4 linked regions of the Stegostoma tigrinum genome follow. The main gene of each other region encodes a partner of the protein of the gene in region 2 in a complex. Links are inferred from orthologs where the notes say so. Each region holds a gene or a part of one and is shown on either strand. Other genes may lie near its edges.

The links.
Region 1: smarce1 (region 2) and SWI/SNF complex subunit SMARCC2 share a complex: the UniProt entries of both Homo sapiens proteins name them as parts of the BAF complex. The link is inferred for Stegostoma tigrinum from reciprocal best matches to the Homo sapiens genes SMARCE1 and SMARCC2.
Region 3: smarce1 (region 2) and dpf1 share a complex: the UniProt entries of both Homo sapiens proteins name them as parts of the neuron-specific chromatin remodeling complex. The link is inferred for Stegostoma tigrinum from reciprocal best matches to the Homo sapiens genes SMARCE1 and DPF1.
Region 4: smarce1 (region 2) and SWI/SNF-related matrix-associated actin-dependent regulator of chromatin subfamily D member 2 share a complex: the UniProt entries of both Homo sapiens proteins name them as parts of the BAF complex. The link is inferred for Stegostoma tigrinum from reciprocal best matches to the Homo sapiens genes SMARCE1 and SMARCD2.

The regions. Positions count from the first base shown.
Region 1 is NC_081404.1:1,307,384-1,315,361, reverse strand, and holds the start of SWI/SNF complex subunit SMARCC2, read right to left. Parts: upstream 3,007-7,978; 5' UTR 2,981-3,006; coding exon 2,870-2,980; intron 1-2,869. UniProt on the Homo sapiens protein: Involved in transcriptional activation and repression of select genes by chromatin remodeling (alteration of DNA-nucleosome topology).
Region 2 is NC_081384.1:2,078,824-2,086,637, forward strand, and holds the start of smarce1 (SWI/SNF-related matrix-associated actin-dependent regulator of chromatin subfamily E member 1), read right to left. Parts: upstream 3,009-7,814; 5' UTR 2,782-3,008; intron 1-2,781. UniProt on the Homo sapiens protein: Involved in transcriptional activation and repression of select genes by chromatin remodeling (alteration of DNA-nucleosome topology).
Region 3 is NC_081392.1:15,780,254-15,787,666, reverse strand, and holds the start of dpf1 (zinc finger protein neuro-d4), read right to left. Parts: upstream 3,001-7,413; 5' UTR 2,921-3,000; coding exon 2,889-2,920; intron 1-2,888. UniProt on the Homo sapiens protein: May have an important role in developing neurons by participating in regulation of cell survival, possibly as a neurospecific transcription factor. Belongs to the neuron-specific chromatin remodeling complex (nBAF complex).
Region 4 is NC_081384.1:23,920,328-23,927,424, forward strand, and holds the start of SWI/SNF-related matrix-associated actin-dependent regulator of chromatin subfamily D member 2, read right to left. Parts: upstream 3,021-7,097; 5' UTR 2,551-3,020; coding exon 2,395-2,550; intron 1-2,394. UniProt on the Homo sapiens protein: Involved in transcriptional activation and repression of select genes by chromatin remodeling (alteration of DNA-nucleosome topology).

The sequences.
Region 1 (7,978 bases), on a different chromosome or scaffold from region 2:
AGTTTCTGATTTCCAGCATCTATAGCTCTTTGGCCATTTTTAAAAAATAGGACAGGATCTGGCCAAGGTAAACTGAGAGCAGCAACTTGCAGGAAAAGCCACACCAGAGCAGTGGGAGACATTCAAAAGGACAATAGAGAGAGTGCTGGGCCAACATGTTCCTCTAAAGGGAAAGGTGGAACCAACATACCAAGATGTCAAGGGAAATGCAGGATTGGATAAGGGGCAAAAAGGAAGATAATAGGAGACACCAAAGGCTCAAAACTGTAGATACCTTAGAGGAACATAGGAAGTGCTGGGGGTTGCTTATGAACAAAGAAAACCAAGTGTGAAGCTGGATGAACACAGTAGGCCAAGCAGCATCTCAAGAGCACAAAAGCTGACATTTCCGGCCTAGACCCTTCATCTCTGATGAAGGTCTAGACTCGAAACGTCAGCTTTTTGCTCCTGAGATGCTGCTTGGCCTGCTGTGTTCATCCAGCTTCACACTTTGTTATCTTGGATTCTTCAGCATCTGCAGTTCCCATTATCTCTGCTTATGAATGAAATTGAGTATGAAGGGAGGACATGAAAAAACTTTGATGGGTAACATTAATGAAAATCCAAAGGCCTTTTTTAAGCTTATTAGGGCAGTCAATGGACTAGGGATGTTGCGAGACTATTGATTCAGAGATCCAGAAAATGTTCTGGGTAAGACAAAACAAAGAACTGCAGATGCTAGAAATCAGAAACCAAAACCAGACATGGCAAGGAAAAACTCAGAACTGAACAAAGGTCTCTGGACTCTAAACGTTAACTCTGCTTTCTCTCCACAGATGCTGCTGGACCTGCTGAGATTTTCTAGCAATCTGTCTTTATGATCTAGGTATCCTGGTTTGAACCTGGCCATGGGAGACAGTAGAATTTAAGTTCAATAAAAGTCTGGAATTAAGAATCTAATGATAGCCATGAAAATATTATTGATTGTCAGATAAACCGATCTGGTTCACTAATATCCTTTAGGGAAGGAAGTCTACACGTGACTCCAGGCCCACAGCAACGTGGCTGACACTTTGGTGCCCTCTAAAATGGATTAGCAAGATACTCATTTGTATCAACCACAAGAAAGCAAAATAAAGGAATGAAAACAGACAGACCACTTGGCACTGACCTAGGCACCTGAAATTGCAATGGAAAAAAACAGCCCTGTTAGCCAGACAAAAGTCCTCCTTACTAACATCTGGGGGCCAGTGCCAAGATTGGGACAGTTATCTCATAGACCAGTCAAACAACAGCCTGACATAGTCATACTCATGGAATCATACCTGACAGAAAAATTCCCAGTCACCACCATTACCATCCCTGGATATGTCCTGTCCCACAAGCACAACAGACCCAGCAGAGGTGGCTGCACAGTGGCAGTCGGAAGGGAGTTGCCCTCATGAAGTCTTACGGCATCATGTCAAAAATGGGCAATTAAAACCTGAAACTGATTACCAGACAGCATCTTCTATCCACTGATGAATCAGTGCAGTTCAACATCGTATGGAGAAAAGCTGAGAGCAGCAAGTGCGCAGAATGTACTTTGGATGAGGGATTTTAATGTCCACAACTAAGATTGATCAAGCCCTAAAGGACATGGCTGCTAGACTGGGTCTACGTCAGGTGGTGAGGGAACTGACGAGGGAAAACCATTCTTGACCTCATCCTCACCGACCTGCCTGTTGCAGACATATCTATCCATGATTCCACAACCAACAGATCAGATCCAGATCTGCAGTCCTACCACATGTAAGCATTCATTGTATTGGACAATTAAACTATTCACTGAAGGAGGCATCACCACAAACATGCTCATTCTCAACGATGGTGGAGCCCAGTACATCAGTGCAAAGGATAAGGCAGAAGCATTTACAAAAACCTTCAGCCAGAAGTGTTGACGCAGGGGAGTGAGGGGAAGATTTTGGTTTTCAAGCATCTCAACTAGCTTTTAAATGGCGGAGGGGAACGTGTTCAGGAGGATTTGATTTATGTAGTAAAGGAGCTTTTGTGTCGTAAGAAAGACTGCATTTCTCAGCGGCCGGGATTTTAAGTGAGACTTGGTTTTAAATAGGGATTGGTTTCAAGGGGCAAGCTACTTTTTAAAGCGGGAGATTGTTTTTTTAAGAAAAAGGGACTTCTTGGGGTTTTGGGAATGGAAGGGGGTTCTAGGAAGAAACGTTTTTTTTAAAAAGGGGGAATTGAGGTTTGAAGGAGAACGAAGCTTTTTAAAGGAATGGGGTGTGGTGAAGTGAGGGAGTGAAGGGCGTTTATGGAGATAGCGAGTTCATGGGGTGGTAAAAGGTGTTCGCAAGGGGAGGAGGCTTACGGCGGGGGAATTGGGGATTTCATGGAAGAAGGGATTTTTAGAAAGCTTCAAAGGGGATTAATTTAAGGGAGCAGGAGGCGTCTTCGGGATGAAGGTTTTTTTAAGGGGATTGGACATTTTAAAGTGTCGTTGAAGATTTAAGGCGAAGTTGGTTTTGAAGTAGGATTGAATTTTTTGAGAGGGAAAGGTTTCAGACGGGGCAGATATTTTTGAAATGACGAAAGCAGCTTTTAAGTAGTTATAGGGAGAGATGGGAAGGAGAATTGATCTGGAGTTTCTGAGCATGAGGCGAGGAATGGAAGCAGACCGGGCTGCCTGCAATTCGGCGTCCTCCACTTCCGACTTTCTCCGTTCCGCAGACGGAGACTTACGACCATCGGCTGGGCAACCCGACAGGAAGCTCCGAGGCCGATGTCAAGGACAGGGAAAGCCGAACTTCCACCCGCCATCAGGATACAGTCCAGGGCCCAACAAACAATTGCATCCTCACCCTTTCCGATCCACTCCACTGGCATCTCTCACCTTTTTATAATTCTTCCCTAGCCACAGGCGCACATTATCAAACTGCGACACCGTATCTGAGGCCTCGAAATATTTCACATTCGGGCCTCCGTCCTTCTTCCGCACCGCCATTTTCAACCACAAATTCACTGAGAGAAGATAGGAGCAAAGAAGCAGCAGACAGCACCACCGCCTGGCCAGAGGTGCGCCTGCAGGAGCAGACAGCACCACCTTTTCTGATGGCCGAAACGTCAGCTTTTTGCTCCTGAGATGCTGCTTGGCCTGCTGTGTTCATCCAGCTTCACACTTTATTATCTTGAATTCACCAGCATCTGCAGTTCCCATTATCTCTGAGCACCACCGTCCTGTCGGGATATGTCTTGACATACCCATTTACCACCAGGTGATAGAGATCCCCAATGCTCCCTATGTAGGAGTCCTCTCTCTTTTCCCATTGGGGAGCTGGGGTGGAGGGTGTTGCACGCAGTAGACCAGTGCAATCACCAATTACAGTGGTTTATGGACTCCAAGCCCAACTGTTTGTTTTGTGGTAATAAAATGTGAGGCTGGATGAACACAGCAGGCCCAGCAGCATCTCAGGAGCACAAAAGCTGACATTTCGGGCCTAGACCCTTCATCAGAGAGGGGGATGGGGGGAGGGAACTGGAATAAATAGGGAGAGAGGGGGAGGTGGACCGAAGATGGAGAGAAAAGAAGATAGGTGGAGAGGACAGTATAGGTGGGGAAGTAGGGAGGGGATAGGTCAGTCCAGGGAAGACGGACAGGTCAAGGAGGTGGGATGAGGTTAGTAGGTAGGAAATGGAGGTGCGGCTTGGGGTGGGAGGAAGGGATGGGTGAGAGGAAGAACAGGTTAGGGAGGCAGAGACAGGTTGGACTGGTTTTGGGATGCAGTGGGTGGAGGGGAAAAGCTGGGCTGGTTGTGTGGTGCAGTGGGGGGAGGGGACGAACTGGGCTGGTTTAGGGATGCGGTGGGGGAAGGGGAGATTTTGAAACTGGTGAAATCCACATTGATGCCATTAGGCTGCAGGGTTCCCAAGCGGAATATGAGTTGCTGTTCCTGCAACCTTCGGGTGGCATCATTGTGGCACTGCAGGAGGCCCATGATGGACATGTCATCTAAAGAATGGGAGGGGGAAGTGGAAATGGTTTGCGACTGGGAGGTGCAGTTGTTTATTGCGAACTGAGCGGAGGTGTTCTGCAAAGCGGTCCCCAAGCCTCCGCTTGGTTTCCCCAATGTAGAGGAAGCCACACCGGGTACAGTGGATGCAGTATACCACATTGGCAGATGTGCAGGTGAACCTCTGCTTAATGTGGAATGCCATCTTGGGGCCTGGGATAGGCGTGAGGGAGGAGGTGTGGGGGCAAGTGTAGCATTTCCTGCGGTTGCAGGGGAAGGTGCCAGGTGTGGTGGGGTTGGAGGGCAGTGTGGAGTGAACAAGGGAGTCACGGAGAGAGTGGTCTCTCCGGAAAGCAGACAGGGGTGGGGATGGAAAAATGTCTTGGGTGGTGGGGTCGGATTATAGATGGCGGAAGTGTCGGAGGGTGATGCGTTGTATCCGGAGGTTGGTGGGGTGGTGTGTGAGAACGAGGAGGATCCTCTTTGGGCGGTTGTGGCGGGGGCGGGGTGTGAGGGATGTGTTGCGGGAGACGCGGTCAAGGGCGTTCTCGATCACTGACGGGGGAAAGTTGCAGTCCTAGAAGAACTTGGACATCTGGGATGTGCGGGAGTGGAATGTCTTATCGTGGGAGCAGATGCGGCGGAGGCGGAGGAATTGGGAATGGGGATGGAATTTTTGCAGGAGGGTGGGTGGGAGGAGGTGTATTCTAGGTAGCTGTGGGAGTCGGTGGGCTTGAAATAGACATCAGTTACAAGCTGGTTGCCTGAGATGGAGACTGAGAGGTCCAGGAAGGTGAGGGATGTGCTGGAGATGGCCCAGGTGAACTGAAGGTTGGGGTGGAAGGTGTTGGTGAAGTGGATGAACTGTTCGAGCTCCTCTGGGGAGCAAGAGGCGGCGCCGATACAGTCATCAATGTACCGGAGGAAGAGGTGGGGTTTGATCGAGAACACCCTTCACCGCGTCTCCCGCATTTCCCGCAACACATCCCTCACACCCCGCCCCCGCCACAACCACCCAAAGAGGATCCCCCTCGTTCTCACACACCACCCCACCAACGTCCGGATACAACGCATCATCCTCCGACACTTCCGCCATCTACAATCCGACCCCACCACCCAGGACATTTTTCCATCCCCACCCCTGTCTGCTTTCTGGAGAGACCGCTCTCTCCGTGACTCCCTTGTTTGCTCCACACTGCCCTCCAACCCCACTACACCTGGCACCTTCCCCTGCAACCGCAGGAAATGCTACACTTGCCCCCACACCTCCTCCCTCACGCCTATCCCAGGCCCCAAGATGGCATTCCACATTAAGCAGAGGTTCACCTGCACATCTGCCAATGTGGTATACTGCATCCACTGTATCCGGTGTGGCTTCCTCTACATTGGGGAAACCAAGCGGAGGCTTGTGGACCGCTTTGCAGAACACCTCCGCTCGGATCGCGACAAACAACTACACCTCCCAGTCGCAAACCATTTCCACTCCCCCTCCCATTCTTTAGATGACATGTCCATCATGGGCCTCCTGCAGTGCCACAATGATGCCACCCGAAGGTTGCAGGAACAGCAACTCATATTCCGCTTGGGAACCCTGCAGCCCAATGGTATCAATGTGGACTTCACCAGCTTCAAAATCTCCCCTTCCCACACCGCATCCCAAAACCAGCCCAGTTCGTCCCCTCCCCCCACTGCACCACACAACCAGTTCAGCTCTTCCCCTCCACCCACTGCATCCCAAAACCAATCCAACCTGTCTCTGCCTCCCTAACCTGTTCTTCCTCTCACCCATCCCTTCCTCCCACCCCAAGCCGCACCCCCATCTACCTACTAACCTCATCCCACCTCCTTGACCTGTCTGTCTTCCCTGGACTGACCTATCCCCTCCCTACCTCCCCACCTATACTCTCTCCACCTATCTTCTTTTCTCTCCATGTTCGGTCCGCCTCCCCCTCTCTCCCTATTTACTCCAGTTCCCTCTCCCCATCCCCCTCTCTGATGAAGGGTCTAGGCCCGAAACGTCAGCTTTTGTGCTCCTGAGATGCTGCTGGGCCTGCTGTGTTCATCCAGCCTCACATTTTATTATCTTGGATTCCCCGGCATCTGCAGTTCCCATTATCTCTGTTTGTTCTGTGGTGCTGTGGAGACTGTAGACCCTATGAATGTTGCTTGTGGGCATTTGCACTTTTTTTTAGTTAATCAAAAGACCTTATGCTCTGTTTTTGGTTGCACTTCAGCCCCATGCTCCTGATCTTCGGGCGCCCAGTGCACAGGGGTGCAGGCAGGTTGATGGATCGCCTCATTGTTCTGCTCCTGGGCCTTGCCAGGCTAGCTGTAAACAGGTTCAGGCAGCGGGGCGTGGAGCCGGTCATTTTAGCTCCCTCTCCATGGCTCTGTTTGAGCCTGGGCGTCCTTGGAGAGAGAGCAGGTGTTGTCTATCAATACTTTTGATTCCTTTAGGCAGAGATGGGCACCACGGGGGTTGCAGTGCTTTATTTTCCCCTCCAATTCTGTTTTGATTTGATGCCTCCCTTCCCCTTTACTCTTCCTTTCACACAGGCATTGCTGCTATTGGGGGTCGCTTGTTACTGGTTCCTTGGCTACATGGGTGTTTTACCTGGTGATGGAATATTGAATAAAACTATTTATATAACTGGTGTTTTCACTGAGTCCCTGTACAGCAGTTGCTACAGGTGGAATGTAAAGCAATAGTGTCGGGAGAGGAGGTTAAGAAAAGTTCCACTGCAAGTGGCAAGCAGGGCAGCAGTAGACGTCCATCTTGTGACCGTTGCCATCCAACACCTTAAACTGCGGTGCTCAAACCTGACATTGTGCACCACTTGGACGATACTCAGGTGGAATCCTGTCTATGTGTATGCCTGCCAGATGTGTATGGCCCCAAGATCCCATGCCCCACAACCTGAGCCACTGCCAAAATATTTGTCATATGCCCTCTAGAAGTGCAAAATGACAGGCTTTGTACAGACTGCTGCAGCACACCATCCACCTCTTCTCCTTCATCCACTGTCTAGGCGTGCCTATTTACCAAGTATTTGGGATCCCCAGTGGAGGGCGCTCTACATGGGATACTGCCCTCTTTTCTGTCGGGGATCTAGGGTGGAGGATGTTGCGAAGTTGGGTAGTGTATTTGTGGATTGGGAGGCAGGAAGTTACAATTTTGTGTTTGTAAATGCTGGGGGCGGGGTAGGGGAAGCATTGTCTGGTCCTTTAAAAGATGTGTTTTTCATGTGCTAAGAGGTTTAAAACGGATGCTGTGAGCAGCAGCTTGAAAGTTTGCAAGTGCACAGAGAGCACCTGAATTGAAACATTTGTATTGAAAGGCCGTACATTTAGCAGGCCAAGCAGTCAATTTTACTAAGGCAACAGGCTTTTGAATTTAGCCATCAATATGAACCAGGCACTTAGATACCAAAAACCAATTAAATTTAAATCTGATGGTTTTGACAACATAGAACTAATTCTATTGTAAGAAATATTGATATGTCATCAAGGGTATAAAAGAAAGAGACAGTTGAACAAAGCCACAGCTAGTTGCCATCCGCCAGAGCTAATGGCCCTCAGCTCTCAAGAGAGAATCGTTGGCTCTCACAGCCTGCTCTATGTTTTACAGGAAGCACCATCTAAACAACAGCTGTACCAACGGCACAACTAGTTAATATTCTTAATAGAGAATTGACAGAGAAAGCATTCCTGACAGACGAATCGATGGAGAAGGGACACAACATTCCAGAAGACATGTAACCTGACTGTAATTTCGACAGACTGAATTCTTTAGATGTAGTGGGCCTTTTATTTATTGGAACAGCATACCGTCAGAATCTTGCTGCATTCAGGAATGGGTAATAGAGGAGATTTATTCTGTTTGTTCATAGTTTAGTTAATTTGTTCACTGTTAGCGTTAGATATTTAAATTGTTACTTGTTGATTTTAGAGTGTGTGTCAGGGATTTATTTTATTTAACCACTATATATTGC
Region 2 (7,814 bases):
GTGAAAAGAATTACACTAACAACCAATTTAAGATTATCAGTGTATCTCACAATGTGGTTCACTTACACTTGCTGGAAGCTCCATATATATTTGACTCCCCGCAAGCAAAATTAACTTGTACAGACACTGCACCTATTCAAATAAACAAGAGTCTGGGGACACTGTTCCCTGGTGTACTCCTCATGGCATTGCCTTGAACAGTCAGTTAACCTGTGAACCAATCAGCACTCTGTTTCTCATGTGGTATAAACATTGCTCCCTTTGAAATCTGGGAATATTCTTACATCTGTGCTGACCAAGTCTAAGATGGAAAAGTTCAAGATCATGTCTTTTTGTTCAGCAACACTCAGCGCGTACTCCAAAGTCATGAGTCATATCCCAATTCAGGGATCCAAGGATCTAGGCCAAGACTTGCAGTTAGCCACTGAAGCAAGGAGATATGAGAGAGAGATAGAGATACGGACAGAGACATAGATAGAGTGCAAAAATGTTCGGGGAGAGAAAAGTACCTCAACTTTGACAAGTTACAGTGCCATGAGAACAGAACAAAGGGAAGAACACAAACATTTGACAGAAAATAGCCATGTTTTCATCAGATTTAATGTTTCTTCAGCAAGAAATTAAGGAGAATGCCTGCATTTTCATTTAAAATCTTCTGCCTTAACAGCAAAGACATTTGGGAAATTGCTCTGCCTGCACTACACTCTGCCTCAAGCTGAGAAAGCCACAATAATACCAATGGACACCACACATTAGCCATGGCTCAACAGGTAATACCTTCCCCTTTGGGCAAGAAGATTCTGTGTTCAAATCCCACTCCTGAGATTTCTGCAAGGTTAATTGAGGGGTACTATAACAGCAAAGGTACCCTCCAATGAAACATTAAACAAAGACTTCATCTATTCTCCCAAGTGAATGGCACTATTCTGAGGATGTGAAGGTGTTGGTGTTGGATTGAGGTAGATTAGACTAGATTCCCTACAGTGTGGAAACAGGCCCTTCGGCCCAACAAGTCCACATCGCCCTTTTGAAGCATCCCACCCAGATCCACCTCCTTATAAATGCACACACCCCTGAACACTACGGGCAATTTAGCACGGCCAAGCCACCTAGCCTGCGCATCTTTGGACTGCGGGAAGAAACCGGAGCACCCAGAAGAAACCCAAGTAGACATGAGGAGAATGTGCAAACTCCACACAGACAGTCGCCCAAGGTTGGAATCGAACCTGGGTCCCTGGTGCTGTGGGGCTGCAGTGTTAACCACTGAGCCACCGTGCCGCCCCTATAGCAGACAACATCAGAAGTCAGGAGACACTAGGTTATACAATTTGGACCCAAAACTTTTTTTCCTGCTCCTCAGCGTGTTGTCTTTTTCTAGCTTCACATCTATTGATTCTATAATCCCAATTTTGCCCTGTTATTCCCAATTTGGCCAACACAACAAAAACTGATAATCTGGCTATTATCACACTGCTGATTGTGGAATTTGCCATGTACAAATTGGCCACCATACTACTGACATAACAGCAGTGATTGCATAGCAAAAATATATACTATATATAATAAACTGATTGGTTATAAAACAAGGTGTGGAGCTGGATGAACACAGCAGGCCAAGCAGCATCAGAGGAGCAGGAAAGCTGACGTTTCAGGCCTAAACCCTTCCTCTAGACCTGTGTTCATCCAGCTCTACACCTTGTTGTTTCAGATTCTCCAGCATCTGCAGTTCCTACTGTCTCTGGCTATAAAACAATCTGAGATATTCCTTTTACTTTAAAAGGAACTATACAAGTAAAAGGCTTTCATTCCATAGTCGGTCCTAGATGAACTAATTGCTCATGACAGGTTGGTGTTGCTTTTCAAAGTCCTGAATTCTCACCACTCCCCAGGCAGACATTTTTCCTGAATTCTCAAATGGATTTATTAGTGACTGTCTTATACTGCCAACATAGCAAAGAAATATGGAGAAACTCAGCAGTTGTGGCATCTGTGGAGACAAAAAAGAGAGTTTAGGACATTTTTTGAGTTAAAAAGATGTTGGAATTTTTTTAAACACTTGTTATACTTTTGACTAACAAAAGACAAAGAGGTTGCCGATGGTGGAGAAAAAAAAATGATGTAAAGTGGAAATGAGTCCCCAACCAATCATAGCCCCAAAGGACCATGGGGCTACTCTTTCATTACAGAGATGATTAGAAGTGCTTTAACTTAAAGGTTATCACACCTCAAGTTAGGGGTGAGGTTGAAAAGGAGAGTCCATGTCACTCTGCATCACAAACCAGCTGTCCATTCAACTGAGCTGGCCAAGCCCAAACGACTGAGGTTATGATTAAGAATCATCGGACTGGAAACGTTAACTTTTTCTGCTAACAGGTTCTGCCTGACCAGCTCAGCTTCTCCAACAATTTCTGTTTTTGTCCTAAACTACTATTAGAATGATAACAGCCTGGTCCTACTGTCCTACGGAAGAAACATCTTGTGTGTGTGTCTACGTACATTTTATAGTCCCAAATATTTCAACTGGGTCACTCTCCACCCATCCCCCTCAATGTTACCAAGACAGCCTTTATCCCCGATTTAATTCATTGGGAGTCAGTCACCCTCCCAGCTCCGGAATATTGTCCATGACAACATCCTGCAGCACCCACACTTCCCACCCAAAGTGAACCCTCGGAGAGATCCCCCTCCCCCCCGTCTTCTCCCTTCACTGCCTCCCCAGCCCAGCTCATCCCTCATGATGTCCCGTTCATCCCCCCCCCCCGGGATCAAAGCTGTACTCACGGAGAGGGCGGGGAGTCCTGTGTCCCGCTGGAGCCGCGGTCCCGGGGAGGCGGTCGGTGTCCCTGGCCGAGGAGGGAGGGAGCTCGATGCCGGGAGCTGGCCTGTGTCGGGTGGGGTAGTTCGGTGACCGGAGCCCGGTACCCGGGGGGGGGGGGTGGGGGAAGGGTCTGGATCCGCAAGCCCGGGGCCGGGGGGCGGGAAGCGCGCGGACCGAGCGCGAGCGGGTTCCTATTGTCCGGGGGCGCCGAGCTCGCACATTCCACACAAACAAAACCCGGCCACGGCTGCCGGATGAAAATTTCCCGACACCCGGGGAATACCCGCCGCCTCGGGTGGACTTGATCTTCCCCCAGTACACTCCCACCTTGGGCCTGGCAGAATTTTATAAAGTAATAAACAGTTCCGCCGAATCTGCGAACCTCTTTCCAACTGTGCCGACCCAAGGCCAAATGTCAGTGTGAGTAGCAACCGTACATTCGAGCCTCCAAATAAAGTTCCCTTCTATAAATTAAATAAGCGCAGTTGTAATATAGTTACAACATCAGTTGTTTTGAGTCTTTGTATAGGTGTTATAAGCTAATAATTTCCTTTTTAATGGAAAACATTTTTCTAAGAATGTGCTGCTACAGACAATAAATCTACTGTGGTTCTTCAAATAGAATGCATGTCTGACCTAAAGTGCATATGCTGTATTGTTTCTGTAAGACTGATTTATTTTGTCCCCAGTCTCACTGAGAAATCTCCTTATCTTGAGAAATGTTAATTTTAATTTGCTGCAGGACTGGGAACATGTCAAATAGTCACTGAAATCTAACAGGTAAGGGACAATATCGAAACACAATCAACGTACCCAACACTAATCAATTTACACCTTGTACAGTTGCTGGTGACTAATAAAATCTGCAATTTAGTTGGTAATTAATTCACAAGATTATTAACAGAGAGGCAATAATGTAGTGCCAGAGCTGTTGGTGGAGTAATCCGGGGACACAAGGTCCCAGGGATAAAAGTTAAAACTGCTTGAGGGGCTCAGCAGGTCAAGCTGTGCAGAGAAAAACAGGCGATAACGTCTCGATTCTGGTGTGACTACTTAAGGATTTTGCTTTCATTTTAGTGTCCCAGGAACTCATATTCAAAATTAAAAACAAAATCTCTAACTGAAAGTCTGATGACGACCATGTAGCCTTTGTTGGGAAAATCCATCTAGTTTGCATGTGTTTTTTTGGGTAGAATAACTACTATTCTTTCCAGTCACGTATATCTAAAGCAATGTGATGGACTCTTAACTGGAGACGTAACAGAACTGTGGAAATAAAGAATCAGAGAATCCCTACAGTGTGGAAACAAACCCTTTGACACAGCAAGCCCCACACGGACCTGCAGAGCATCCCACCCAGATCCATTCACCTAATCTATAAATCTCTGAACACTATGGGCAATTTAGTATAACCAATCCACCTAGCCTGCACGTCTTTGGACTGTGGGAGGAAACTGGAGCACCTGGAGGAAACCCACGCAGACACGAGGAGAATGTGCAAACTCCACACAGACAGTCACCTGAGGGTAGAATTGAACTCGGGTCTCTGACACCTAGAGGCAGCAGTGCTAACCACTGAGCCAAAGATGAACGCATATTTCAAAATCCCCAGGCTAATGTCAAGATTTGAATACCACCACAGCAGATGGTGATATTTGAATTCAATATAACCTAGATTTTTCTTGTAAAAGCTAGTCTGGTGGACATTATTGTTTAGAAATCCATCTGGTTCATTAATGCCCTTTTAGGCTTGGTAATATGCCTCCCTTACCTAGCCTGGGTAATCTACAACTGGAGACCCACAGCAATAGAGTGTAAATTTTTGTCCAGTCACAGCCTGAGAATGAATGAATAACTGTCCTCCAACTGGCCACAAAAGCCATTCAGTTGTATCAAACACTAAAGTGCAACACACAGGGAATGAAACTAGGTGGATCATCTAACATTGACCTGAGCACAGGAAACAACAACAGCTAAAGTAAGCCTGTCAAATCTGCAAAGTCCTGCTTACCAACACCGAAGGATGGTACCAAAATTAGGAGAGCTGTCTCACAAACATGACAAAATTCACAGAGTCACAGTCGTGCAATCATAACTTGCACAGTTTCCCAGATACACTATGTTCTGGGTCATCCCACAGAACCATACATTGTCAGGGGGGAGTTGCCTTGTGAGTCTTCAGCATTGATTCTAGAGCCTGTGGAGTCCAATGGCATCGGGCCACATATGGGCAAGGAAACCTGCTGATTACCATCCAGTGGCCCCACCCTGAGCTGATGCATCAGTATTCCTCCAAGTTAAACACCATGTAGAGGAAGTGTGAACTTATCACACCCATAGTCAAGCTGATCCAGTTTGTCTACAACACTGATAGCGACTTGACAATGTGGAAAGTTGTCCGGGTATGTACGGTGTACGAAAAGCAGGACAAATCAAACTTGGCCAATTACTGCCCCATCAGTACTCTCGATCATCAGTAAAGTGATGGAAGGTGCCTTCAACGGCGCTTTCAAGCAGCACCTGCTCTGCAATAACCTGCTCGTTGACACCCGGTTTGGGTTGCGCCAGGACCACTCAACTCTGGACCTCATTACAGCCTAGATGCGAACATGGACGGAAGAGCTGAATTCTAGAGGTGACGTGAGAGTGACAGCCCTTAACATCAAGATCACATTTGCCTAAGTGTAATATCAAGGAGCCCTAGAAAGACCTGAGTCAACTGGAATCACTTGCTGTCTGGATTCATACCTGGGCCTCTATGGGCAGCATGGTGGCTTAGTGGTTAGCACTGCTGCCTCACAGCGCCAGGGACCCAAGTTTGATTCCAGCCTTGGGCACCTGCCTATGTGGAGTTTGCACATTCTCCCTCTGTCTGCGTGGGTTTCCTCTGGGTGCTCTGGTTTCCTCTCACAGTCCAAAGATGTGCAGAGTAGGTGGATTGGCCATGTTAAATTGCCAATAGTCCCCATAGATGTTTAGATTAGGTGGGTTAGACTTGGGAAATCAGGGGATTGGGTCAAAGTGGGATGCTCTTCGGTGGGGCGGTGTTGACTTGTTGGGCCGAATGGCCTGTTTCCACACTGTAGGGATCCTATGGCTATTGACGGTCAGTTATCTCAGCTCCAGGCCATCTGTGCAGGAGGGCCTCAGAGTAGTGTCCGAGGCGCAATCATCTTGAGCTACTTCATCAATAACCTTCTGTCTATCATCAGATCAGAAATTCACTGATGTTTACACAATGTTCTAAACCATTTGAGACTACTCAGATACTGAAGCAGTCCTTGTCCAAATGCAAGATCTACCCAATATTTAAGCTTGGTCTGACAAGTGGCAACTAACTTTCACCCCACATAAATGCCAGGAAATAACAGACAATCTAACCATCACCTTGACATTCAATGACATTACTGTCACTGAATTCCCAATTATCAACAATCTGAACTGGACTCATCATATAAATACAAGCCTACAAGTGCAGGTTAGGGGCTAAGAATTCCGCAGCAAGTAACTCAACTCCAGACTCCCCAAAGTCAGTCCACCATCTACAAGGCACAGGTCAGGTGTGTGATGGAATACTACCTACTTGGCTGAATGAGAACAGCTCCAACAACACTCAAGCAGCTTGACACCATCCAGGACAAAGCACCCTGCCCAACTGGCTCCACATCCACAAATATTCATTCTGTCCATCACCGATGCTCAGTCACAGCAGTGTATACCATCCACAAGATGCACTGCAGAAATTCACCAAAGATCCTTAAACAGCACCTTCCAAACCCACGAACAGAAGGACGAGGACAACAGATATGTGGGAACACCATCTACAAGTTCCCCTCTGAGCCACTCACCATTCTGACTTATTCCATCACTATCGCTGGGTCAAAATCCAAAGGCATTATGGGTCTATCTACAGCACATGGACTACTGTACCAGGTACAACAAACAAAAGGTACCCTTTAAGGGAGACAGCCAACTAGAGTTTCTGATGAAGGGTCTAGGCCCGAAACGTCAGCTTTTCTGTTCCTAAGATGTTGCTTGGCCTGCTGTGTTCGTCCAGCCCCACACCTTGTTACCTGAGAACCCAGGTATCTCTGTTTTAAATACTCTGAATGACAGCCTTCTGCTCAATGATTTCCACAGATTAATTACCTACTGGCTGAAGAAATTCCCCCTCATTTCGATTCTAAAAGGTTGTTCCTTCACTTTCAAACTGTGCCCTCAGGTTATAACTGGTGGAGACATGTTTTCCACGTCCACCCTACCCAGCCCTGTTGGTATTAGAACATAGAACATTACAGCACAGTACAGGCCCTTCGGCCCTCGATGTTGTGCCGACCTGCCATACCAATCTGAAGCCCATCTAACCTACACTATTCCATGTACGTCGATATGCTTGTCCAATGACAAATTAAATGTACTTAAAGTTGGCGAATCTACTACCGTTGCAGGCAAAGCGTTCTATTCCCTTACTACTCTCTGAGTAAAGAAACTACCTCTGACATCTGTCCTATACCTTTCACCCCTCAATTTAAAGCTATGCCCCCTCGTGCTCGCCTTCACCATCCTAGGAAAAAGGCTCTCCCTATCCACCCTATCTAACCCTCTGACTATCTTATGTGTCTCAATTAAGTCAACCTTCTTCTCTCTAACGAAAACAGCCTCAAGTCCTTCAGACTTTTCTCGTAAGACCTTCCCTCCATACCAGGCAACATCCCAGTAAATCTCCTCTGCACCCTTTCCAAAGCTTCCACATCCTTCTTATAATGCGGTGACCAGAACTGTACGCAATACTCCAAATGCGGCCGCACCAGAGTTTTGTACAGCTGCAGCATAACCTCATGGTTCTGGAACTCGATCCCTCTATTAATAAAAGCTAATACACTGTATGCTTTCTTAACAGCCCTGTCAACCTGGGTGGCAACTTTCAAGGATCTGTGTACATGGACACTGAGATCTCTCTGCTCATCTACACGACCAAGAATCTTACCATTAGCCC
Region 3 (7,413 bases), on a different chromosome or scaffold from region 2:
GGGAGGAGGTGAAGGGGAACAGAGGGAAGAGGAATGGAGGGAGGAGGAATAGAGGGAGAGTAGAGGGAGGAGGGGAGGGGCAGTAGAGGGAGGGGGAGTAGGGGGAGGGGAGTAGAGGGAGGAAGGGAGGGGGGCTTGAGGGAGGAGGGGAGGGGGTTGAGTGGAGAGTGAGAGGTTTTGTGAGAAGAGGAAAGGGGAGAATAGGTGGACAGGTGAGGGGGAGGAGGTGAGGCTGAGGGGTGAAGAGGCTGGAATGGCTGGGGGAATGGGCTGGTGACAAAAGGAGGTTTGGGGGGTGTTTAGAGAGGAGAGGAGAGGGAGATAGAGGCGGGGAGGAGGGAGAAAAAGAAAGAAGGGTTGAGGGAGAAAGGGCAGAGGGAGGAGGGCAATAGTGGCAGAGGTGAAGTGGGACCAGGATCTTTGGGAAGTGGGGAGGAGGTATGCGGAGGCGGGGGATGGTAGTGTTTGGTGAAGTGTAGGGTATCCTTTCCCTGTGCATCCCAAAATTCCTGCAGAATCCAGACTAACTGCTGACCATTGAGCGTGAGCTCCTCGGTGCCTTTCTCCTCCAAAATAATTCAGAGAGAACTGTTCAGGGACTGGGACCGTTAGGAATCCTTACCATCTAATTGCGACTCATGGCGGGGTGGGTGGGGGGGAAGACAGCTAAAATATTCGAGGGGCACTGGCCCTTCAGCTGAAACGGACTGTTGGGGGGGGGGGGGGGAGCAGTGCTTAGTGTCACTGCTGTGAGACTGTGTTGTGTTCATCCAGTTGCTGCTGGTCTCCCCATCTGGTCCTGACCTCGTGCAAACGCCTCACTCTTTGACCCTCTCTTGTTAAAATTCAGTCCCTACCAATTCCGACACGTTCCTCCAGCAGCCCCCACCCCCTTCATGCTGACCCTGTCCAGGGCTGAATCCCTCCCCACCCCCAAGACCTAGCAATGTGAACCCGAGCACTGAATTACAGAAAGGATACAGTGCAGGAGGAGGACATTCGGCCCATCGTGTAGGGGCTGGCTCTCCAAAGGAGGTCCCACTCCCCCCACCTCCTCCCCGCAGCCCTGGGCGCAATCTCCTTCAGCGGGTACCCAGGTCTGTTTTGCCAGCTGAAGCTGCACATTCCAGACCCTAACCACTCACTGTGGGTAAACATTTCTCCTCTTGGCCCTACTCTCACAGGCCTTAAAACTGCATTGTGTGGCACTCAATCCTGACAACCCCCCAGGGGTAATGTTTCCACTCTGTGGGTTTGCATACTTGATTTGTTGCTCCCAGGCTATTCAACTAGGTGGGCATCAGAGGCCAAGCCAAACGAGGCTCACTCTTTGCCCATCTGTAAGCTGTACAAAACTCTGGTGCGGCCGCACTTGGAGTATTGCGTACAGTTCTGGTCACCGCATTATAAGAAGGATGTGGAAGCTTTGGAAAGGGTGCAGAGGAGATTTACTAGGATGTTGCCTGGTATGGAGGGAAGGTCTTACGAGGAAAGGCTGAGGGACTTGAGGCCGTTTTCATTAGAGAGAAGAAGGTTGAGAGGTGACTTAATTGAAACATATAAAATAATCAGAGGGTTAGATAGGGTGGATAGGGAGAGCCTTTTTCCTAGGATGGTGACGGCGAGCACAAGGGGGCATAGCTTTAAATTGAGGGGTGAAAGATATAGGACAGATGTCAGAGGTAGTTTCTTTACTCAGAGAGTAGTAAGGGAATGGAACGCTTTGCCTGCAACGGTAGTAGATTCGCCAACTTTAGGTACATTTAAGTCGTCATTGGATAAGCATATGGACGTACATGGAATAGTGTAGATTAGATGGGCTTGAGATCGGTACGACAGGTCGGCACAACATCGAGGGCCGAAGGGCCTGTACTGTGCTGTAATGTTCGATGTTCTATGTTCTATCTGAAGTCCGCAGTATTCCACTTCACTGCTGGGTTTGGTGACCATCAGTGTTCACAGTTACCCTCATCTTTCTGTGTGGTTGATGAACACGCACCAAGGATGGAAATGGGTGCCTGGTGGAGGTTGGGGAAGGGGGTGCAATGTGTTTTATATGCCCTCAGTGCTGTCAATCCCCCTCCTGCATCTTCAGAATTGCTGCAGGGAACCAAGAGAGGCTGACATTTGAAAAGAAAACACAACCCATTTCTCCCTAACCTTCAGAGAGGCATTTATCAGGCACACAAGGCAAAAAAATGAAAATAAATGACATTTCACTAAATCAAAAGTATGACAAAAATCTCGAGCTTTCAGATTTGGTTGCAAAACTGAAACAGGTATTCAACATAACAAAACAGCAAACGGAGATATTCTTTGATGGGGGTGGGGGGGGGGGTTGTTTTCTGTCGGCTCAACGTCTCGCCGCCCGCTCCACCGCCTTTAATTACCCTGCAGTCCCCAGCGTCTGCCCCCGGGCGGCGCTGGCGAGCCGCGGGTGGCTGCAGCCCTCCCCTTGCTCTCATTAAAGGCGAGCGGCTCGCTGCCGCTGAGCCCTGATCAGCCCATTAGCCAGCACTGTAAAGCACATATAACACTGGGCTACAATATACTCCACATGCCAGCAAGTCACCTTTAAGGTGAGGAGGCAACTGCATCCAAACAGTTTCCAGCTGAAATGGAAGGGGAATGGGGGGGGGCAAAAAAAAGAAAATTAAATAGAACAACATTGAAAAAAAATTAGAAATAATGCAACCTGCATAAGAAAAAAAAATGCAACACTAATAGAAGGGTGCAGAATATTATTGAGTGTAATGCACTTGGCATCTATTGCAAAACCTCTCCTGAATTGCATGCAAGTTTTTTTTTCATTTAAGAGGGCTGCCAAATGCAAGAAAGGTCTGGGGAAATTGCAAAAATGCAAGGCAGAAATTTTTGCAGATACTCACGATTTTAAAGGATTCTGAATGACTGTCGCCATTTTGATACAATAAAATACAGTAGGATCACAATTGTGGTTTTAACATTTCATTTGGACCATTCACAATATGGAACAGGGCTGCGGCCACGAAACAGCCAATCAGCAGCCCCCTGGTGCCTGGGGAGCGACGTCACCTGTGTGGAGAGGGGCGTGGCCGCGCCTGCGCCTCAGCTCCGGGGGCGAGATTGGGGGGAAATGGGGGGTAATCCCAGTGTCTGCTGGGAGTTGTAGTCCATCCCCCCACGCTATCCTCCACTATGGGGGGCAGTAATCTGTGCCGACTGGGAATTGTAGTCCTCTCCCCTCTTGTGTCCCCTTTTCCCTGGGGTGGCAATGCCCACTCACTACAAAGACAGAAACCTCAGGGATTTGATTGCATTGTAGAGGGCGAGAGGGTGCATAGGAGATTCACCTAGTCACAAAGAGAAGAAACCTCAGGGATTTGATTGCACTGTAGAGAAAGAGAGAAAGGGTGCATAAGAGATTCACCTAGTTACAAACAGAGAAACCTCAGGGATTTGATTGCACTGTAGAGAAAGGGAGAAAGGGTGCATAAGAGATTCACCTAGTTACAAACAGAGAAACCTCAGGGATTTGATTGCACTGTAGAGAAAGGGAGAAAGGGTGCATAAGAGATTCACCTAGTTACAAACAGAGAAACCTCAGGGATTTGATTGCACTGTAGAGAAAGGGAGAAAGGGTGCATAAGAGATTCACCTAGTTACAAACAGAGAAACCTCAGGGATTTGATTGCACTGTAGAGAAAGGGAGAAAGGGTGCATAAGAGATTCACCTAGTTACAAACAGAGAAACCTCAGGGATTTGATTGCATTGTAGAGAAAGAGAGAAAGGGTGCATAAGAGATTCACCTAGTTACAAACAGAGAAACCTCAGGGATTTGATTGCACTGTAGAGAAAGGGAGAAAGGGTGCATAAGAGATTCACCTAGTTACAAACAGAGAAACCTCAGGGATTTGATTGCACTGTAGAGAAAGGGAGAAAGGGTGCATAAGAGATTCACCTAGTTACAAACAGAGAAACCTCAGGGATTTGATTGCACTGTAGAGAAAGGGAGAAAGGGTGCATAAGAGATTCACCTAGTTACAAACAGAGAAACCTCAGGGATTTGATTGCACTGTAGAGAAAGGGAGAAAGGGTGCATAAGAGATTCACCTAGTTACAAACAGAGAAACCTCAGGGATCTGATTGCATTGTAGTGAGAGAGAGAGAGGGTGCATAGGCGATTCACCCAGTTACAAACACTGAAGCCTCAGGGATTTGACTGCACTGTACAGATAGAGAAAGGGTGCAGAGGAGATTCACCTAGTCACAAATAGAGAAGCCTCAGGGATTTGATTGCACTGTCGAGAGAGAGAAAGGGTGCAGAGGCGATTCACCTAGTTACAAACGGAGAAACCTCAGGGATTTTGGTGCACTGTAGAGAAAGAGAGAGAGTGCACAGAAGATTCACCTAGTCACAAAGAGAAAAACCTCAGGGATTTGTTTGCACTGTAGAGAAAGAGAAAGGGTGCAGAGGAGATTCACCTAGTCACAAAAAGAAAAACCTCAGGGATTTGATTGCACTGTAGAGAAAGGGAGAAAGGGTGCAGAGGAGATTCACCTAGTTACAAACAGACAAACCTCAGGGATTTTGTTGCACTGTAGAGAGAGAGAAAGGGTGCAGAGGAGATTCACCTAGTTACAAACAGACAAACCTCAGGGATTTTGTTGCACTGTAGAGAGAGAGAAAGGGTGCAGAGGAGATTAACTGGGATGTTCATGTGGTGCTGGAGTGATTCAGCTATGAAGAGAGAAGGGAGAGCTTAATTTCCCTATAGCGGAGCGGGTGGCTTGACAAGGGTGCACTGAAATCTGAACAGCATAGACAGGGAGAAACTTTCCCCCTAGTGGAGAGGTCTCTCACTGTGAGTCACAGTTTAAAGACAAGGAGCAGCACGTTCAGAGGGGATTTCAGGAAGATCTTTTTTACCCAGAGGTATCTAGAACTCACTGTCCAAAAGGGTGGTAAAGGCAGGAGCTCTTAGCATATTTTGGGGGAACTGTTTCGATGAGCACTTGAAGTGCCAAAGAGAGCTCACTCCACATGTGCAGTCCCTGCCACCCCCACTTTTGCAGAGTTTTATATCTTTAAATTTTCAAATGGGCGGTGTTGACGTTTGCAGAAAATTAACCACCAGAAGTTTCATTTGTTTTTCAATTTTGGCTGGATGTAATGGTCGGCGCATGTGATACAGGGGCAACTCGAGGTGGGGAGGAGAATTAAAGTCACTTGGTATGCGATGCTCTCACCAACACCGCCTCGTCAATGGAAGGGATGTGTTCAATCCCCTTTCCACCCCCTTCACCCCCCAGACTTGAGCACCTGTTCCAGGTTGATATTCCCGGTGGCTGCACTTTCAGAGATAACACAGTGTGGATCTGGAGGAACACAGCAGGTCGGGCAGCTGTTTCGGGTCAGGACCCTTCTTCAGAAATGGTTTTCTGAAATCTTCAGATTTCTGAAGGGTCCTGACCCAAAATGTCAACTTTCCTGCCCCTCTGATGCTGCCTGACCTGCTGTGTTCCTCCAGCTCCACACTGTGTTATCTCAGACTCCAGCATCGGCAGCTCTTACTATCTCTGAGTGAGCTACACTGTCAGAGCTGCTCCCACTGAGATGTTAAAATGTGAATTTCCTAACACTTTCTCAGCTATAGTAGGACCTGCAGTTGCTGGAGAATCTGCGATAACACGGTGTAGAGCTGGATGAACACAGCAGGCCAAGCAGCATCAGAGGAGCAGGAAGGCTGACGTTTCGGGCCTAGGCCCTTCTTCAGAAAATGAAGAAGGGTCTAGGCCCAAAACGTCAGCCTTCCTGCTCCTCTGATGCTGCTTGGCCTGCTGTGTTCCTCCAGCCCTACACTTTGTTGTCTCGGATTCTCCAGCATCTGCAGTTCCCATTATCTCATGTATTTCAACCTTTCTTTTCAATATCCCCCCCACAACCTATCAGCCACGATCTCATTGACTGGTGGGGCAGACTTGATGGGCTGAATGGCCTACCTCTGTGCTTACAATTTCTTGCTCACTGGTTGGCGCTGGCTGCTGTTCAATAAACACCCTGATTTGATCATTATCACTGGGTTTCCAGATCTCCTCCATGGCCTCCCTCTATCTCTGCCATCTCCTCCAGCCCCACTACCTCCAACCCTGGGAACCTAGAAGCCCTGCAGTGTGGAAGCAGGCCATTCAGCCCATCAAGTCCACAACCCACCTTCAGACACCACCCCACCACCCCAAACCCCTGTAACCCTACACATCCCTGGATACTATGGGCAATTTGGCAAGGCCCATCCACTCTAACCTGCACATCACCATAGAATCCCTGCAGCATGGAAACAGGCCACTCAGCCCTACAAGTACACACTGACCCTCTGAAGAGCTTCCCACCCATCCCCTACCCTTCCCCTGTGACCCTGCATTTCCCATGGCTAACACATCTAACCTACACATCCCTGGACACTATGGGGCAATTTAGCATGGCCAATCCACCCTAACCTGCACATCTTTGGACTGTGGGAGGAAGCCGGAGCACCTGGAGGAAACCCACGCAGACACGGGGAGAATGTGCAAACTCCACACAGACAGTCGCCCGAGGATGGAATCGAACCCGGGTCTCTGGCACTGTGAGGCAGCAGTGCTAACCACTGAGCCACCATGCCGCCATCAGAGATCTCTGCACCCACCAAATTCCAGCCTTTTGAGCATTCCCGATTTTAATCCTTCCATCTGAGGAAGGATGTACCGCAAACAGAGGTTCCCTGAGACTGATTCCTAGTATAATGGGGCTATCCAATGAAGAGGTATTGAGGATGATGTGAAGGTGCTGGTTGGACTGGGGTGGACAAGGTCAGAAATCAGACGACATCAGTTACGGTCCAAAAGGTTTATTTGAAATCGCAAGCTTTTTGAGCACTGCTCCTTTGTCAGGTGAAGTGAGAGGGAAGCAAACGTGACTTGATCGAGGTGTACAAAATGATCAGAAGTGTATGTAGAGTGGACAGCCAGAGACCTTTTCCTAAGGTGAGGGTAACTATTATGAGGGAACATAGTTTTAAAGGTAGATATAGGGGAGACATCAGAGGTAGGTTCTTCTTTACTCAGAGAGTGGTCGGGGCATGGAATGCATTGCCAGAGACGGTAGTAGAGTCGGCCTCATCAGGGGCATTTAAGCGGCTATTAGATAGGCAAATGGATAATAGTATAAGGTAGGGGTGGAGGTTAGATATACCTTAGGTTTAGGATAAAAGTTCAGCACATTGTAAGCCAAAGGGCCTGTACTGTTCTATGTTCTAGGCAGGGAGATCAAAAGATCACACACTAGTATGAGTGGAGTATCAGTAATAAACTCTGTAAGTGATCCGCAGTGTCAGATGGTGTGAGTAAAGTGTGAATAACAAGTGAAGGGATGACCTATAATCCAATTAATGAGG
Region 4 (7,097 bases), about 22 Mb from region 2:
TAATTCAGATCCCCTATGTCAACCTGCCCCTATAACACAGACCAAGATACAGCTCGCATTTCTAATCCCAGTCTCCCCTTACCTGTAATCCAGGTATCCTATTTTCCTCACCCACAATTCAAATGCTTTATATGTAAGACAGATCCCCATCCCTTGGCTTCATAATTGAGAGCCCCTTTTTGCCCTGTCTCTGTAATCTAGATCCCCAACATTCCATTGTCCCCATCATCCAGATCTCTCATCTCGCCTGTGTCTCTTGAATCATACAGTCCTAGATTCAGACAGCACAGAAACAGAGATAACAAAGTGTGAAGCTGGATAAACACAGCAGGCCAAGCAGCATCTTAGGAGCACAAAAGCTGACGTTTCGGGCCTAGACCCTTCACCTCTCTGATGAAGGGTATAGAGCTTTTGTGCTGCGTTCATCCAGCTTCACACTTTGTTATCTCAAATTCTCCAGCATCTGCAGTTCCCATTATCTCTGAGCACAGAAATAGATCCTTAGTCCTACTTGTCCACTCTGACCAAGTTTCCCAAACTAAATCAGCCTCACTTCAAAGAAGGCTCCCTAGGATGGGACTATTGTAGGGCCACTGGGAGGTGGGGAATCTGGATTGTAGAGATAAGCAGCATGTGGAGAACCTCAATTATAGAGAGAGGGGGTGTACGGGATCTAGAGGGACTGTCTAATGAGCAAAAGCTAAACAGGTTGGGACTCCAGCCCTTGCAGTTCATTAGAATGAGAGGTGCTCTCATTGAAGCTTACTGGATTTTAAGGGGCTTGACAGGGGAAATACTGGATGTGAGTTTGCTCGCTCAGCTGGAAGGTTAATTTTCAGACGTTTCGTCACCATTCTAGGTAACATCATCAGTGAGCCTCCGATGAAGCGCTGGTGTTATGTCCCGCTTTCTATTTATCTGTTTACCTAAACAAATAAATAGAAATAGATAAACAGATAAATAGAAAGCGGGACATAACACCAGCGCTTCATCGGAGGCTCACTGATGATGTTACCTAGAATGGTGATGAAACGTCTGAAAACTAACCTTCCAACTCAGCGAGCAAACTCACATCCAGAAACTCAACCTGAGCTACAAATGTTCTCAAAACTCGCTAGGGTAAATACTGACAGGATGTTATCTCTCACGGTAGAGTCCAGGATCAGCCTCAGAACAAAGGGGCACCAATTTAGAACGGAGATGAGGAGGAATTTGTCTCTCAATGGTGAGTGTGTCTTTGGAACTCCTTGCCACAGACAGCTGTGGGGTACAGTCCTTGTGTATATTTAAAGCTGGTGATCAGTCGGGGAATCAAGGGATACAGGGAAAACGCAGGAAAGCAGAGATGAAGAATTAAGTTTCAGCTATGATCCCACTGAAGGGTGTAGGAGGGGGTGAACAGCCTAATACAGTTCCTATTTCTTTCAGTTTTGCAATTCTAGTCGCCCTGTCTCTGTAATCCAGATACATCCCCACTTGTACAATTCAGTTCTCCTACATGTTTTTCCCCTGCAATTCAGAACCTTTACCCCAGCTTGTGTGCATAAACCAAACCCCCTAATACCCCTCTCTCTATAATCAAGGTTCCCCACATGCTCCTGCTCTCTACAATCCAGATGCCCCAAACTCCCAGTGGCCCTACAATAGGAGGCATGTGATGGCGCTCATGTGCCTCTCCTCTCTTACAGTGCTGACCACGTGTAAGACCATAGTCCGGGAGGCGGGAGGGTGGGTATTTTGCAGTGATCTTGGGGGGTGGGGGAAAGTAGGTAGGCTGCAGATTGAAGCGGAGACCCCGGGTTTCCGGGGTCAGGGGGATGAGGGTCCAAGCGCCGAATCTCCGCAATCGCGGAACAAGGTTTCTCGATGCGACACTGAATGCGGAAGTAATGCGAAACGGGAACAACAACACACACACAAAATAATTCAGCAGGGAGGATCGGGAGGGAGCTTTTAGGCCGAGTTTCACTGTAATTTCAACCAGCAAAACAAGAGGGCTAGGGTGTCTGCTTGGGGTCAGTTCCTTGCCAATTTGATAAACACCAGAGAAAAAAATAGCAACTAACTCTTTTATTCAACAAAAAGAGAGTCACCTTTAGAGCTATTTCATATCTCTTGCACGTGTCTAAACCACATGTTTTTTTAAAGAAAAACTACATTAAAAATTAATCTCATGTGGCGCCGCCACATCAAGTATTTAATTCTAAAGAAGTCAAGAAACATAATTACAGAAAAAGGGGGGGGAAAATCGATGACTAAATAAAACGGTGGTTTCCTTTCTGATTCTGGGGCCGGTTTCAGTGCTTTCCGATCGATCGGTGCAGATAAATAAGGGCAGAAGTTGGAAAGTTTTGCATTGCTGGTGAGCAGTGGGGTTTGGAGGCAATTACTCACGTTGTAAGCGCCGCCGGGACCCATCGTCCGGAAGACTGGAGATTGCTGCTGGAGGTTCAGTGGCATCCTGACCGCTTGTCCTGGCATCACCCCCAAGGAAGGATTCAGGGGGCTCCCTGGGTTCAAGGGGTACCCTCCGCCTACTCTTGTCGCCATTTTTTCAAAGTGTATACATAAACAGACACATGCATGTAATATATATATGTATATGTAGATATATGAAAACAAAAGACAATCTCACTCGGCGCTAACAACTCTTCCTCCAACAAAGATCCCAGCTGTCACTTGGTACAAGTCACTCCTCCAATTGGTTGCCACAAGCCTCCGCGGCTCAGGGAGAGAGGTCTCCGGTTTCACCCCACGGCTATTCCTTACCGGCTACGTTAACGCTTTCTTTTCAAAAAAAACAAGAAAGCACACACATAACATTTAACAACAGGCACAGAGGTGGCAATGTTTGGTGTCATCATTACCCATGAATCTGCTGGAGAGCTATAAGCCCCCACTCTGCTGGCACTGACACATTTTCTAAAGTGCCTCAAAACCAACAAAATGTCTAAAGATAAAGATCAGAGTGTTTTTCTCCCCCTCGCTACACTCTTGTTTGTTGAGAGCTACGCCTCCCGCCCACTTCTGTGGCTTTGGCAGATGGGTGGGGATTGCTCAAGCAGGTTAGCAGGGAACTCAATAGACCGCGCGCCCTCTACCTACTCAGTAGGAGCACTTCACCAGGCAAGTCTAAACATTGTGCTGTCTATAGCAAGCAGGAACTCAGCCTGCGCCAGGTAAAGTGCAGTCTTCAGTCAGCAGCACCTCTGTTAGAATGAACTCTTTGCCTGGCAAAACAGACAAATCCAACCCTCATTTTCTTAGTTATTTCTCGCACCTTGTTGACTCTTTTTAGAAAATACCTTTATTCACCCATGGGGTGTGGGCTTCATTGGCTGCGTCAGCGTTTATTGCTCATCCATATTTGCCCTGGAGAAGGTGGTGGTGAGCACTGTCCCCATTAAGTGGTCACAAATTTGCTCAGAGGCTCTGTGCACGCCAACTCGTACTGACTACCAAATCCAGAAGTTGGAAATTTACAGGTAATGTAGGTGGTGGTGAGCTGCCTTGAGCAGCTGCAGTCTGTTGGTACAAGGATGCTTACAATGCCATTAGTGAGGGAGTTCCCTGGATTTTGGCACTGAAGAAATAGCGATATATTTGCAAGTCAAGATGGTGTGTGGTTGGAGGGGAACTGGCAAATGGTGGTGTTCCCTGGGATCTGTCGTCCTTGCCCTTCTAGAGAGTTGCAGTCAAGGGTTTGGATGGTTCTCCCTAAGCAGCCTTGGTGAAGTACTGCAGTGCATCTTGTAACTGGTACACACTGCTTCCACTGAGCATTGTGGTTGAAGGACTGAACTTTGTAGATATGGTGCCAGTCAAGTGGGTTGTTTTGTTGATGGTGTCAAGCTTCTTGAATGTTTTTGGAGCTGCACTCATGGAGGCAAGTGGGGAGTGTGCCATCAGATCCTGAATTATGACTTGTAAATGCTGGATAGGCTTTGAGAAGTCAGGAAGTAAATTAATTGTAAGATTCAAGGCTTCTGATCTTCTCACAGTCACAGTATTTGTATCACTAGTCCTGTTCAGTTTCTGGTCAATGGTAACCCCCAGGAGGTTAGAATATCATTAGCATTTTACAAGGCATAATGATGTATTTAATAACAGAGGAAATCTTTACAAATACTGGTTATAGGACCTGAGGTTCCTTTATCCCAGTACTATGAACAGAAGTTCTAAAATGCCTTCTTCCTGAAAACCAGACACTTAGGAAGAAATGACTGACATTTGAAATGTACCTGTCATCACCTCAGGACATCTCAAAATGTTTTACAGAGTACTTTTGAATTGTAGCCACTCCCCAAACATGGCAGCCAATTTGTCTATGTAGCGATCACAAGCAACATGGAAATAAATAAGCAGGTATTTTGATTTTAAAAGATATTGGTTGAGGAATAAATGTTCAGAGTATCTAGTGACAGTCTATATTCAGCTACATCCACCTGACACTTTTGTACAGCGCTAGGGGGGTATTGCTCTCAACAGCCACCGTCATTCACACAAGGCCTTAAAACTCAGCTCTATCTGCTTTCACAGTGGGGTATAAAACATCACTTGGCATGATATTGAAAACAAGCAAGGATGCCTTCTTAGAGATAATGGGAACTGCAGATGCTGGAGAATCCGAGATAAAAAAGTGTGGGGCTGGACGAACACAGCAGGCCAAGCAACATCGTAGGAGGACAAAAGCTGATGTTTCAGGCCTAGACCCTTCATCAGAGTGGGGGATGGGGAGAGGGTTCTGAAATCAACAGGGAGAGATGGGGAGGCAGATCAAAGATAGATAGAGGAGAAGATAGATGGAGAGGAGACAGACAAGTTAAAGGGGTGGGGATGGAGCCTGTAGAGGTGAGTGTTGGTGGGGAGGTAGGGAGGGGATATGTCAGTCTGGGGAGGGCGGACAGGTCAAGGGGGTGGGATGATGTTAGTAGGTGGGAAATGGAGGTGTGGCTTGGAGGTGGGAGGAGGGGATAGTTGAGATGAAGAACAGGTTAGGGAGGTGGGGACGAGCTGGGCTGGTTTTGGGATGCAGTGGGGGGAGGGGATGAGCTGGGCTGGTTTTTGGAAGGGGAGATTTTGAAGCTTGTGAAATCCACAGTAAGGTGAGTGTAGGTGGGGAGGTAGGGAGGGGATATGTCAGTCTGGGGATGATGGACAGATCAAGGGGGTGGGATGAGGCTAGTAGGTGGGAAATGGAGGTGTGGCTTGGAGGTGGGAGGAGGGGATAGTTGAGATGAAGAACAGGTTAGGGAGGCGGGGATGAGCTGGGCTGGTTTTGGGATGCAGTGGGGGAAGGGGAGATTTTGAAGCTTGTGAAATCCACATTGATACATTGGGCTGCAGGGTCCCCAAGCAGAAGGTTGCATGAGTTGCTGTTCTGCAACCTTTGGGTGGCATCGTTGTGGCACTGCAGGAGGCCCAGGATGGACATGTTGTCTAAGGAATGGGAGGGGGAGTTGAAATGGTTCGCGACAGGGAGGTGCAGTTGTTTATTGCGAACCAAGCATTGGTGTTCTGTAAAGCCTCCAAGCCTCCGCTTGGTTTCCCCGAGGAAGCCACAACGGGTACAGCGGATGCTGTATACCACATTGGCAGATGTGCAGGTGAACATCTGCTTGATGTGGAAAGTCTTCTTGGGGCCTGGGATGTGGATGAGGGAGGAGGTGTAGTGGCAAGTGCATCCCCACCCCGTTAATTTGTCTGTCTCCTCTCCACCTATCTTCTCCTCTATCCACCTTCGATCCACCTCCCCCTCTCTCCCTATTTATTTCAGAACCCTCTCCCCATCCCCCTTTTCTTATGAAGGTTCTAGGCCCAAAACGTTAGCTTTTGTGCTCCTAAGATGCTGCTTGGCCTGCTGTGTTAATCCAGCTCCACACTTTGTTATCAAGGATGCCTTCTTCCCAGTCTGATGGGCTTTTACAATTGCATATTATTTGCTCAGATATCTTGCTAGGGCTCAAATTCCCAACTTTCTGACTCAGAAGTGAATAGACTAATAATGAGTCCCAGCTTATCTATGTAATCTGATGGTGAGAAACAGGAACTCTCTGCCTTGAAACAAATCAAGTTTGAAATACTGTCGTGGCAGTCAAATTTTAGTCATTGGTAGTTAAAAATTGTGACCCAATCTTAAAAAAGTCTATATGCTGAAATAAATGACTATATCCAATTTTATTTATTCCTAAGTCCATCCTTGGTATTTACTTAATGTTGAAAGTCCTGTGCAGTTGTTTGAAACTCACCAACTGTAGTCTGCCCAGACGACCAGCAAATCTAACATTTTTTGTTAATTATATTTTTACATTTTTATCAGGGACCATCAAATAACGCCCTTCTTTCATTTGCAAGCAAAGTTTGCTCACAAAGCAGGCAAATCTAATATTGCATGGTCATAAGGAACCCTCAAGACAGATTGATTCCCCATATTTAATGTGCAACACCAAAAGAAACTCTCAACTTGGCCTAAGCATGGAAATATGATTGATCTATTACATACTAGATCATAAAATTCTTGTGGATGAGAAAGCAGCCTGTTCAGAAAAGTGTTCCCATTGCAGCATTTAATTGTCTTTTTTCATCTATTGCTTTACCTGGACACATAACGGAATAAAATTTTCTGATATCAATTGTATAATTACCTTTTAACAGTTTGTATCTGTAAATTCTGAATTTCCCTAGAATTCAGATCCCTGACTTTTGGCTGAGCCTTGTGGTTCTAATGTGCAGTGCTTTCAGCATGTGAATGTTTTTTGTTGGGATCTTGGCAGCCACACCTAGATGCAGTTTTTAAGGTGTGGTGCGAAGTGTGTTTCAATCGCAACATTTTCTGATCTCCATTCTACAATTTTGGCTACGTAGCTCAACATTCTGATGGCATTGTTCATGACTCCTCAGCCTTGGAAATACTGTCAATTACATTTGCTGAGATGACTTGATCTCTTTCAGCTTCATCTTTAACTCTGCTAACACCAAACTTGGAATGCATGCAATGGATATTTTGCTTTCCAGTGATCAGCTCTTACACATGTCTGTATTGAATTTCATCTGCTATTGTTCTGCCCAGTGAATGCATTGTTTGTCATTCTGAATTT